Drosophila melanogaster: one gene and its partner. The protein of the gene in region 1 purifies or fractionates together with the protein of each later gene. This does not show direct contact. Each region holds a gene or a part of one and is shown in the gene's direction. Other genes may lie near its edges.

Evidence for each region. Proteins that work in one complex are often made in the same cells at the same time.
Region 2: the proteins of CG11060 (region 1) and PH4alphaEFB purify together in Drosophila melanogaster (affinity purification with mass spectrometry, with the first as the bait; one large-scale study listed by BioGRID). This does not show direct contact.

What each region holds. Positions count from the first base shown.
Region 1 is NT_033778.4:7,173,936-7,179,469, forward strand, and holds CG11060 (uncharacterized protein), read left to right. Parts: upstream 1-1,950; 5' UTR 1,951-2,060; coding exon 2,061-3,167; intron 3,168-3,260; coding exon 3,261-4,274; 3' UTR 4,275-4,355; downstream 4,356-5,534. Other genes in the region: CG33140 (uncharacterized protein), read left to right, coding at 4,563-5,534.
Region 2 is NT_033777.3:30,464,007-30,469,612, forward strand, and holds the start of PH4alphaEFB (prolyl-4-hydroxylase-alpha EFB), read left to right. Parts: upstream 1-2,043; 5' UTR 2,044-2,368; intron 2,369-5,606. Other genes in the region: CDase (ceramidase), read left to right, coding at 1-275, 701-1,311, 1,372-1,555.

The sequences.
Region 1 (5,534 bases):
TTAATTGATGATGGCAAAAATATGCGCATTAAAGTGCTACATATATGTACCATGATAGGTTCCTTTAAGATTTGATATTATTAGTTGGCTTTTTACAATGTTAGCTTGAGCTAAAACATTATATTCAAATATATCTTGCTTTTAAAAAGTTAAAGTAAAGATAGGTGATGTTCAGCAATCATTTATGTCACCGCTGTAACGAAGCTACTATTATTTCTATCTTTAGGACGACAAGAAATTCTATTTACTTGCTTTCCAGCGGATTCCTTGAGCTTGCTTACACGAAAGTTTTTGCATTGATAGCGCACAAGAAGATTGTCCGGACTTATTTGTCTGCCAATCCGCCTGCCTCGCGATCTCTGTCCGTATGTCCATCCGTCCATCCGTCCGTTCGACTGTCCGTCCGTCTGTCCGTCTGCGCGCCTGTCCGTCCAACTTCACTCAACGAGCGCCACAGTTGGCGTCTGCGTCTCGAGTTGCTGCTGTTGTCTCACTGTCAACACCAAGAGGTATGCAACATGCGGCAGCGCGGAAGGAGGAGCAGTGGGATAGTGGGGGCAATAGTGCCTCCGTCGCAGTCGTTGACAACTGCAGCATGAGTCTGCGGAATTGAGTTGCTGTTGCTGTTGCAGCTCGCTGTTTACTGTTTGCTGCCTGTTGCTGGCTGGCTGGTAAATAATAAATGCGTTGCTCGGGAGAATGCGAGATGGGAAATCAAAATGCAAGCGCTGCCAGATTTTTTTGCTGGATCCACTTGAGGCGGCAGCAACAATGTCCCCCGTTTCGGCATGGCTTCGTTTTGTTTTCCTCCGCCGGGCCGTTAAGTGCAAATGCAGCAGTAGAACAAGCAGCAGCAGCAGCGGCAGCACGGCATTGTTGCAAGTACGAGTATCTTTTGCACGTTCTCAATATGCATTTCTGAATTACAATATGTTGATTGCATTTCGCCGGCACGTAGACGGAACACATGCACTCCAGGGCTTCCAGCCGCCATAATAATGATGAGTATTGAAATTGCCAACAATGCAGTGCATTTCCGCAGCTCCAGCCCCCCACCCACTGCCTCTTCCACTATCAGTCCCTACTCGGCTTCCTTTTCTGCGGTCTGGTGGCCTTTGTTCTGGCCAGGATCCCTCCCTTAGCGGTTCGGGCCAAATTACTTTATACTCCTGTACGGTTCGTTGCCAGGGTAATTGATATGGCTTTGTTTCGCTCGGCTGTTTCTGTGTTTCGCCCTTTTGTTGAGCGGAAAGTTTGTTTCTGGAATGGAAAGCCGCCAGCCGAGAAACCTCATTTCGCTTCCTCCTCCCGAAGACGGGGTAAGACGTGGTAAATCCCTGAACACAACATTAAACATACCACCCCAGACCACGAAAAGCTACTCCCAACCTCCTGCCAAACCGCAGATGACATAATTAATGAGCCTTTGAACCGTCCATAAATACAAAATAGTTCATATTCAGTTGTTGTTTAAGTTGCACATGACCTGTGTATAAATCAATTTAATATTTCTCCTTTTCTCGTTACAGGTAAGTTGATATACGACAGCCAGGCGACTCCTTTCTCTTTGTTGGCCGTGCCAGTCACAATGGCAACATCAACAACAACTTCCAGCAACTTTTTGAATTGTGTGAAGGCGGCACGTCAATGTCATTGGGACTTAAGGTAAATGGCGAGGGAAATTCAAATTCGAACTCCAGAAAGCCGGGCCAACTGCTTGGGCGAAAATTACGATGACTTGTCACACGAGCCCGGTTTTTCTATTAGCTTTTTTGGTGGAACTATTCAGTGGGGATTGTTAGCAAATTAGCACAACAGAAAGGTTCATAAATTGCAATTTATTTGGAATAACTATGGATTTTTACCTGTGCACCTTTCGAACAAGAAAAACTAATAATGACAAAATTAAAAAAGCTCTCGAGAGGCTAGGCTAAGTCTAGGGAGCTTGAAATCAGGATGTACTAAGCGTGTTCTGCCAAAAAAAAAAAACCTTATATATTTAAATACACAACTGTATCATACATTAAACCGAGCGCATCGAATCCAAAAAACATCAAAAAATGAGGCCCACGCAGCACTCCGTCATAAACTCCTTGGGGAAAAAGATTTCGAATCAAACTATCAACGATTCGCACTCCAACAAACATAACTTCATGGATATGGAACAAGAGGAAAAGCAGCCTGAGCATATGTACATGGCCACCCAGACCGTGGAGGACATTCTTAATGAGGTCCTGTGCATGCAGAATTTCCAGCAAAAGCAGTCGGACAGCAACCTAGATCAGTTCTGCCACTCGGAGAGGTCCAGGGATCGGAAGCCGGGCGACGATTTGGACATGGACCCGCGACTGCGCAGCTGGAACCGCGTGCTGCAGGAGCGTAGGCGACTGCAGGATAGGATCGCTCGGCAGACGGGTAAGCGGGCCGAGGACGTGCTCTTCAATCGCTCGGCGACCATCGACGAGGCCAACAAGCGGATGATTCTGCGCGTCCTTGACACCGCAGACAGGTCACGACCTCTTGCTCGCCTCAAGGACAATGTGACCTTGAACTCCCTGAAGCCGCGCTGTGATCCCCATCTCTGCCGCGAGATTAAGGAGCTGTACGCCGCGAAGCCGCAGTTGCAGGAGGTGGAGTTCGTCGGCCTGCCGCAGGTCACCCAAAAGGAGCTGGCTGCCACCCGCCTTCATTCCAACGAGATCGAGAGCCAGTGGCAGCGCTCCCAGGTCTTGAGCGAACGACTTGAGGACAAGAAGCACTCTATTCGACAGGTGCTTGACTTTGCGCCCGATCTAAATGGGCTGCAGGTCACGCCGGCCTTTGTGGGCTCGTCCACTAAGAATCTGCCGATCATCAAAATCGACGAAACTTCCTTGTCTAATATCTCCGGGAACTCCACTCCGGAAGAGGAGGAGGATTCGGAGTCCGATCTGCTGTCCATAGAGGGGGAGGTAAGCGATAGCTTTCAAGAGGCGGCACTCGAGGATATTACAAAGGGAATTGTCGAGAGTCAGGACATGGATGACGTCAAGGACGTACAAGGTCTGATGATCAACGGGGTGATCCTTGATTACCGCAATCCTGTCGGCGCCATAAGCAAAAGCATCAATATGCTGCTGCAATGTGAACCATATGAGCGCGTGGTGAAGATACTTTTGGACATTCAGGTAAACTGGGGTTCATCTTCGTGTCCTTTTCTGTGGGGACATTAGTAAATATTAGTACGAGGACATACTTGCTAACACAATGGCTTCCTGCAGAATCTAAGTCCGAAGCTGGTGCACGTCTATTGGCTTAGTAAGAACCGCTTGCGTTCCGACCGGCTGCCCTTGAACTCCGAGATGGTCTTCGACCGCAGCGAGTTCATCCTGGAGCCACAGGGTCGCCGCCTCATTCGTGTGATGTTCCAGCCGAAAAAGGTGGGCCTTTTCACGCAGCGATGGCACGTGAACTTCCAAAAATCGCCCTTCTGTGGCACCCGCCGCCTGGACGTCGTTCTCCAGGGTCAGTGCACCATGCCCGTTCCGTTCCAGAGACGCCTCGAGGGTCACCGACAGGTGCCCCTAGATAAGCAGCAACAATTGCAGGCCCAGGGCCTTCTGCAAATGCAGGCCAGTCTGGCTCCCATTATCGAGAACCCTCGACCATTGTGTCCCTACCAAAGACATCTTGACGAGCGCGAGGTCTTTAATGCCCAGAACTTCTCTTACCGATGCCAGCGATACGAGGATCTGGAGGCTCTCAAGGACTTATATCAACTGGCCAAGAAGCCTCGCGATAGACCCTGGGATTTAAGTATCGAGACCCTGCGTCACTTTATTGGCAAGCAGGAGAGTCGCTTCCTGCGCGAGAATCTCCACAACAAACTGGTTGCTTTGCTCCAGCCGATGAAGTGCAACAGGTGCTCAGCTTATCCCTTAATGGAACACAATACGGAGCGGGATAGATCCCGCTTCATTTACGTGCGTGGCACTATCGCCAGCAAAATCGACGAGTGGGAGGCAATGGTTTTTGGGCTGGATGAACAGTTCTTTAAGCTGGAGCTCCTCCACTATCTAGGGGAGAATTCTTCTCTTCCCGTCGCCTCAGAGCTAGGCCAGAAGAATCGCCAGCAGGGTCCAGATGAAAACGAAGAAATTCAGATCGTGGAGAAAGTCTCGAAGAGAGTCAAGGCAAGCAAGTACCTCAAGGACTCTCTCTATATGCACACCTACAGTCTGCTCTGTGATGCTGCCGAGGACATAGTCTCCGTCATCGAAAGCACCGCTGATTAGCATTCACAACACCCTTTCCCAGTTTTGGTCATATTTTTTTTAAGTGGCAACACCCAAATAAAATAAAAAAGCATTTATTATAGATATGGGGCTTCATTTTTTTTCGCTGTTAGACTTATACACTGGACTTACATATTGTACCGACTTAACAATTATTGAAATCACAATCCATTCACCACACCAACGAGTCATATAGCTAGCTTGAAACTAAGCCTTTTCAATTCGAGTCAATATATATTTTATAATTGTTCAAGTTAACTCGAACCCCAAACTGAACCACGTTACAAAATGGAGGGCATGGAAGATATTAACCTCAAAACCAACGGGTCCGATACCTTTTCGAAATTTACACTGGCCAACATGGTGTCGCTGCCATCTTCTTTGACCGAACCGACGACCCGTTCGACTGCACAGGCGCAGCTGAATGCCGAGTCCCCCATGGGCAAGTACACGGAGCGCATGGTGGAGGATATTCTGACCGAGATTTTCAAGGAGCGACGGGGGGACTTTCCAGAGACCTCATCCTCTTGTCACGCGGCTAATATTCCGTGGCCAATTAAGGAGCGGGAACCGCACGTGGACAAACGGCTGCGATACTGGAAGGAGGTACTTCACCAGCGCAAGTTGATGCAAGAACGAGTCCAGCGGGAAACGGGCAAGCTGGCCAGTGAGGTGCTCTTCAACCGCCGCTCCACGCTGGACAACCGCGACGGGCAAATGGTGAAGCGCGTGCTGGACTACGCGGACCGCATGAAGGGCGAGCGTCTGATGAGCGCGCCACTTTCCAAGCTGGGCGACCAATTGGATCCATGTACCTGCCAGGTAGTTCCTGGACTGCAGGCCACGACACCGAAAGCGGAAAAGGTGGGCTACAAGGATTTAGAGATCGTTGGCATGCCAGAGGTCTGCAAAACGGAGATCTTGGGTAAGGAGGCCATGGAGCAGGACCCACCACCAGGCTGGCTGCAATCGGAGTTCCTGGACAAACGACTGGAGCAAAACTTTGTAGACATCCAAAACGTTGTGGAGTTCTTTCCCGATGTGGATGCCCTGCAGGTGAAGGGTACTGCTCTCAGCAAGATCAATCGATTACCGAAGCCGTTCCTAGTGGATGTGGATTCCATGCACACGGTGACCAAAAGTGAGAGCTCGCCGATCTGCACCGAGGAGTGCATCTGCGAGTCGTGTGGCGAAACGGAGGAGAAATCGTCAGGAACTCCACCTCCCATTCCGGATGTGGGACTACGGGTTAATGGTGTA
Region 2 (5,606 bases), on another chromosome or scaffold:
TGAGGTTCATCCACCAGTTTGTGGACATGCCCAACTACAATGGCAGCACCTACAATCCGCTGAGCAGGAAGGTCGACAAGATCAGGGGATGTCAGCCGGCCATGGGCTATAGCTTTGCTGCTGGTACCACCGATGGACCTGGAGCCTTCAGCTTCGAGCAGGGAACCACCACGGACAACCCCATGTGGAACTTTGTGCGCGACTTCATCGCTGCTCCCACGCAGGAGGACATCAAGTGCCATGAGCCCAAGCCCATTCTTCTGGCCACCGGCAGGGTGAGTTTTTCCATTAATCAATTATTATTAACTAAAAAGCAAGTCTGAAAAAAAACAATAGCGATTTTAAAAGAATTTCTGAAATTGCCTAAAGGTATGCAGCACAAAAATCATTCCATTTGTTTGGAACTTTGTTGAGTGTTGTGTGCATCAGAAAATAAATTTAAATGTGTTTAATAGTGCAAAGGAACAAAATACCAATTTTGGAATAGAATACATAAATTTATGTAGTGGATTTTGTTTTTATAATGCACATTTAAGTGGGGTAATTAAACTGAAACGTTACGCAAATTAGTTGTCAGCTCATAAAAATCAAGGTAAGGTAGTTATAGCCAGGCTATAGGTCATCACTTAATGCGCAACTGTTATTTAAAAATCTAAGTGCACTTTAAGCATATCTAACATGTACATTATCCATATTTAAGGCCACCTTTCCCTATGAGTGGCAGCCAAAGATTGTCTCGGATCAGCTACTAAAGATCGGCGATGTGATCATAGCCGCCGTGCCCTGCGAGTTCACCACAATGGCAGGACGTCGTCTGCGAAACCAGATTCGAGCAGCTGCCTCCGCCGTCGGAGGCATCGACACCGAGGTAATCATCGCCGGACTGACCAACATATACACCAGCTACACGGTGACCCCGGAGGAGTACCAGGCGCAGCGTTACGAGGCCGCCTCCACGATCTTCGGTCCCCATACCCACTCCATTTACATGGACGTCTTCGAACGCCTGACCAAGGCCATGATGCGTAATGAGACCGTGGATGCGGGTCCAAGTCCGCCGTACATGAATGATGTGATGCTATCGCTGAACACCGGGGTTCTCTTCGACGGACATCCCATAAACACCGACTTTGGCTACGTGAAGTCGCAGCCCAACAAGGAGTACGGCATCAACGAGACGGTGAAGGTCACCTACATATCCGGAAATCCGCGTAACAACCTCTTCACCGAGAAAACCTACTTCACCATTGAGCGAAAGATCAACGAGGATCGCTGGAAGGTGGCCTATACGGATGCCAGCTGGGAGACCAAGTAGGAAGCGCCAGCTTGAGGTTATAAATGTTGGTACTTAATAAAATCGTTACTTTTCAGAATGGTCTGGCACCGAACCAATACGATCCTGGGCTTCAGCGAAATGGACATCTACTGGGACATCAGTCCGCAGACTCTTCCCGGGGAATATCGCATTCGCCATTCCGGGGAGTACAAGTACATCCTGGGCGGAAAGTATCCCTACGAGGGACTCACGCATTCCTTCACCGTTAAGGAGGACTAGGATTAGATATCCGTGTGGAGTGATTTTATAAATATTCCTGGCCAGACAGTTGTAGGGCCCATCAAAAACAAAATCAACACTGAATCCATGTATTTATTTACCATTTGTAAGTGACGAAGGAAAAGCTTTATTTTTGCAAACGCGAATAAAAAAGATGCCAAATTATGTTGAAACTAAGGAGAAGTGTTTTTAATTTTGATCGAAATGGCTGTTCTAGTAGTCTTTTGACATTGCTTCACCTTTTTACCAATTACAATTCAAATTGCCCGCCACCATATACGATCCGCAAACAGCTGTTCGAATGAAATCCACAATGCTGTACAAGTTTCTCTCTTTCAACTCTTTTTCTCTTTTGTGGTATTAAATTGAACTTCGAAATTCGAAATTGGTGCTCTTCTCTTAAATTCGAAACAGAAACCAGAAATTCTCTCTCTTTCTGGATCTGGAAGTCGGTATTTATCTATATTCGAGGCGGCAGCAAAACAAAATCAGTTCCAGTCGGTATTTCTCGGCGCGCGCACGCGAATTAAACAGAAACACAAATTATATTTTTGTAGTCAAAACTGTGAAAAAGGGAATTTACTCCTCGGGGGACCAGAGAAAACAATCCTTAAATTCGAGTCTAAACGAAAATATCTAAAACAAACGTGATTTGTGTGCTTCCAGTTAGAGTGCATAAAATGTATCTATAAGATACGAAGTGCGGGTGGGCAATGCAATCGAGGTGTTCTCGTTGAATTGTAAACAAAGAAGGCGGCCAGTTTCATTGACATCCATTGAGATCCAGCAACAAGTTCGCATAAGAAACACAGGGTAAATTAAAGAAATTCCACAGATACATTTTCTAGAACTTCTGACGTGTTCCTCCTGCCGGCATCCGTCGTGCACTGATAACAATAATCGAGTCTTTTTACTTGAATGACGGGAATGTGGGCCATCTAAATTGAATATTCGATTTTGATTAGAGAGAAATGCTCTGCTGCGCTGTGACAAAAAAACTAAACTGATTTGAGTGTTCACATACTATTCTATATGCACTTGTTGTCACCACATGGCGATTCAATTGACCGCTTTTTGCCCCCACATATTCCCCATTTCCTACTGCTGATGCTCCTCCCTCCTCCTCCATCTCCGCTGGCGATAAGCCTCTAAATATCTGGACTCGAAAAAGTCTGTGCGGCATAGGCGTCAATGTGTATATGTACTTTTTACGTCCGTCTGGGTGTGTTTATATAATGATGATCAGGGGGCGAAAAGAAGGAAGTGCCGCAGTCACGTAGTCAATTGTAGGCATTTGTTTTGGTCTCGTTTCCCGTGCACTTCATCTTCCAATGCAAAGGGTATAAACACTGCGTTGCCAACTGTGCGAAAAAGGATGGCCTAGTTCAGCAAGGAATCAATAGATTTGAAACAAATTGTTTTCTTCCTTTAACTATACATTTCAGTAGCAAATTACATGAATAAGTAATATTAGGTAGTCAATCAGTGACTTAAAAATAACCAGTTTATTAAACTGTTTTCAAACCTGTTTGTAAAGAGGATACAATTACTTTAAAGGGTAATAAAGTTACTCTTTATATAACAGAATCCTTTTTTAAATGTATAACATATATAACATAATGTACCTGGTAAATGTCTATGATTAAAACCCAGTTGAAGTGACTCCTATTTAGCACGGACACAAACCTCATTTAGCCGCTCTTATTAGCGGGATATTTCTTGTCTAATTGGAAATACTTAACCAATTAGACTCTGGTTTGGATGATTAATGGCTAGGCGTGTATTTTTGAAAATACAATCGGATTCAATAGCTTCAATTAACTTACGAGCAAGGTGTGTTAATTTATGAAATTTATAATTTAGCCGCAATCTGGTTCGTTGCTCCCCGCCTGCTTTTTCGGCCTTTCGCCTTTACGTCCATTTGATCAGTATTATTTGTTTGCTAATTAGTTCGGCAATGACGACCGGTTGGCAATAATAGAGTTGGATGCGAAAACGAAAGTGGCTGCCAAGTGGATCACCAGTTCCATCCATGTGCGGAATGCAATGAAAGTGAGGACAATGTCGACAAGGAGCTGCTATTTGGCCCACTTCCTTGTCTGGTTTTTGCGCCCATTTCGCTCCAGCCTTTTTCCCAGCTCATCTTTCGCTTTTATAATGTTCAGCAAAGTCTTTGAACCGGTTTGGTATTGCGATTTCCATCGGGGACGCCTTTTATGCTTACATTTCAAGGTGAATTGTAAAATTTATGTGTGCACACGCTCCATGACGGCATCTGACTGGCATTAAAGCACTTCGCCATGGGTTAATCATGGGGGCCAGCCGGGTGTTAAGGCAGCTGGGGATGAGCTGCGAACATTTGTCATTCATTACTAATTAGCAAACTCGCTGAATGCACTTGAATCACTCCCGCGTCCCGAGTCCTTCCTTCCTGCCTACTGAATATTTAATGCGAATGCCATTTTTCCAACACAGCGAGAAATTAAATGGGATGGATTCGATCCGAGAGATGACACCTTATTGTTCGTTAGAATTATCAAAATTTTATTTAGAACTTCTCGAAATATGTACGTTATCAAAAGTGCTTTCTGGAATTTCCTGAATATTTCTGATAGTATGCAAAGCTAATAATCAGCGTGCGTAGCAATGAATGCAAACGTGTTTACATCACACTCTTCTTTACAACACTTTCATAATCCATCATCATTTTTCTCCAGTGCTGGGTACTTTCTTTCCGACAAGTTGTGACAATCAAATTAACGCTTATAGAATTGAAAAGTTCACGCCCTGCGAGTGGAACTTTTGCTGGCAGACAAATCACATTATCTACGACTTTGAATCCAAGTTCTTGGAGCAATTGCAGCATGTGGCCTGGAAACTGAAACAGAAATTGCCACACGCTCTTGGCCTGGCCAACTCAATTACACTTAACCAAATTGTTTGCATAATTTGCACAAACTAGGCAGACCGAGACCATGATTTTTCCACAAAGAACTCTTCTTTTCGTCTTTTTGACTTTTTTTTGCATCGTATCAACAAAGTGGAGAGACCTCATTCGGTGGTTAGGGCAAAGTTTGTGCTCATGATGATGATACTTAAGGCGATAATGATGATGAAGTGGTTATGGCGAGGCGCGTCTAACGAGTCCATTAAGTCGCTGAATTAAGGAAAAACTCGGAGTCAAATTACAGTGCCAACGACGAAATCGACGGTTCGATTCGATGCGATTTTAATTATGCATTCGATCGACGAGCAGAGCCACTCAAATTGGCCAAATTGAATGGAAAGGGAAGCTTTTGGCTAGGAAGCCGTACCCTCGCCGAATTCCATTACGAATGGGCAAATGTCATAGCAGACATGGGAAATAAGAAGAGCTCCGCCTGGGGAAGGTCAGTCCGCGGGTCCAGGGGGGCCTGACATTTAGCAGATGGAAGACTTCGGTGGCAGCAGTTTGGCGACTTCGTGCCACATTAACAGCCACTGGCCCATAGAGACAATGTGGCCAAAACTGTTCACGAGCTTGCTTTTGTCGGCAGCTCACAAATGCCAGGGCTCAAAGAGCAGGTGCACGGAGAAAATCTCTATATGGACATGGAAATATACTAGTTGTTCCATGTACCTAAAAACTACAGAAATATCTTCATTCAATTTGAATAACTTAACTTGCAAAACTCCTAATTATTTAGTCATATCTCTTTATTATTTGCCAGTTCTACAAATCATGCAATTAATACGCTTTTAATTAACCTCTTTATAATATAGCATCAATTATAAAGACACAATTCATTTATAAGCAAAGTAGCTCCACCCAAAATCGATTCAAGTTTAATTCTGGCTATTTTAAAACAAGAAAACTAGTTTCGAAAAGACATTCAAAGAAGAGGTAGAAAAGTCCTAAGACAATGTCAGTTTCTGATAAATGTTATGATTAGGTATTCTCAGATTAGACAAATTTATACTTGGTAAACGTTAGTTTCATGCAGCTTTCAGAAATGATAAATTATTGACCCCGAAACAAAAGAAGTGTTCCAATGAAACATATAATATTTAT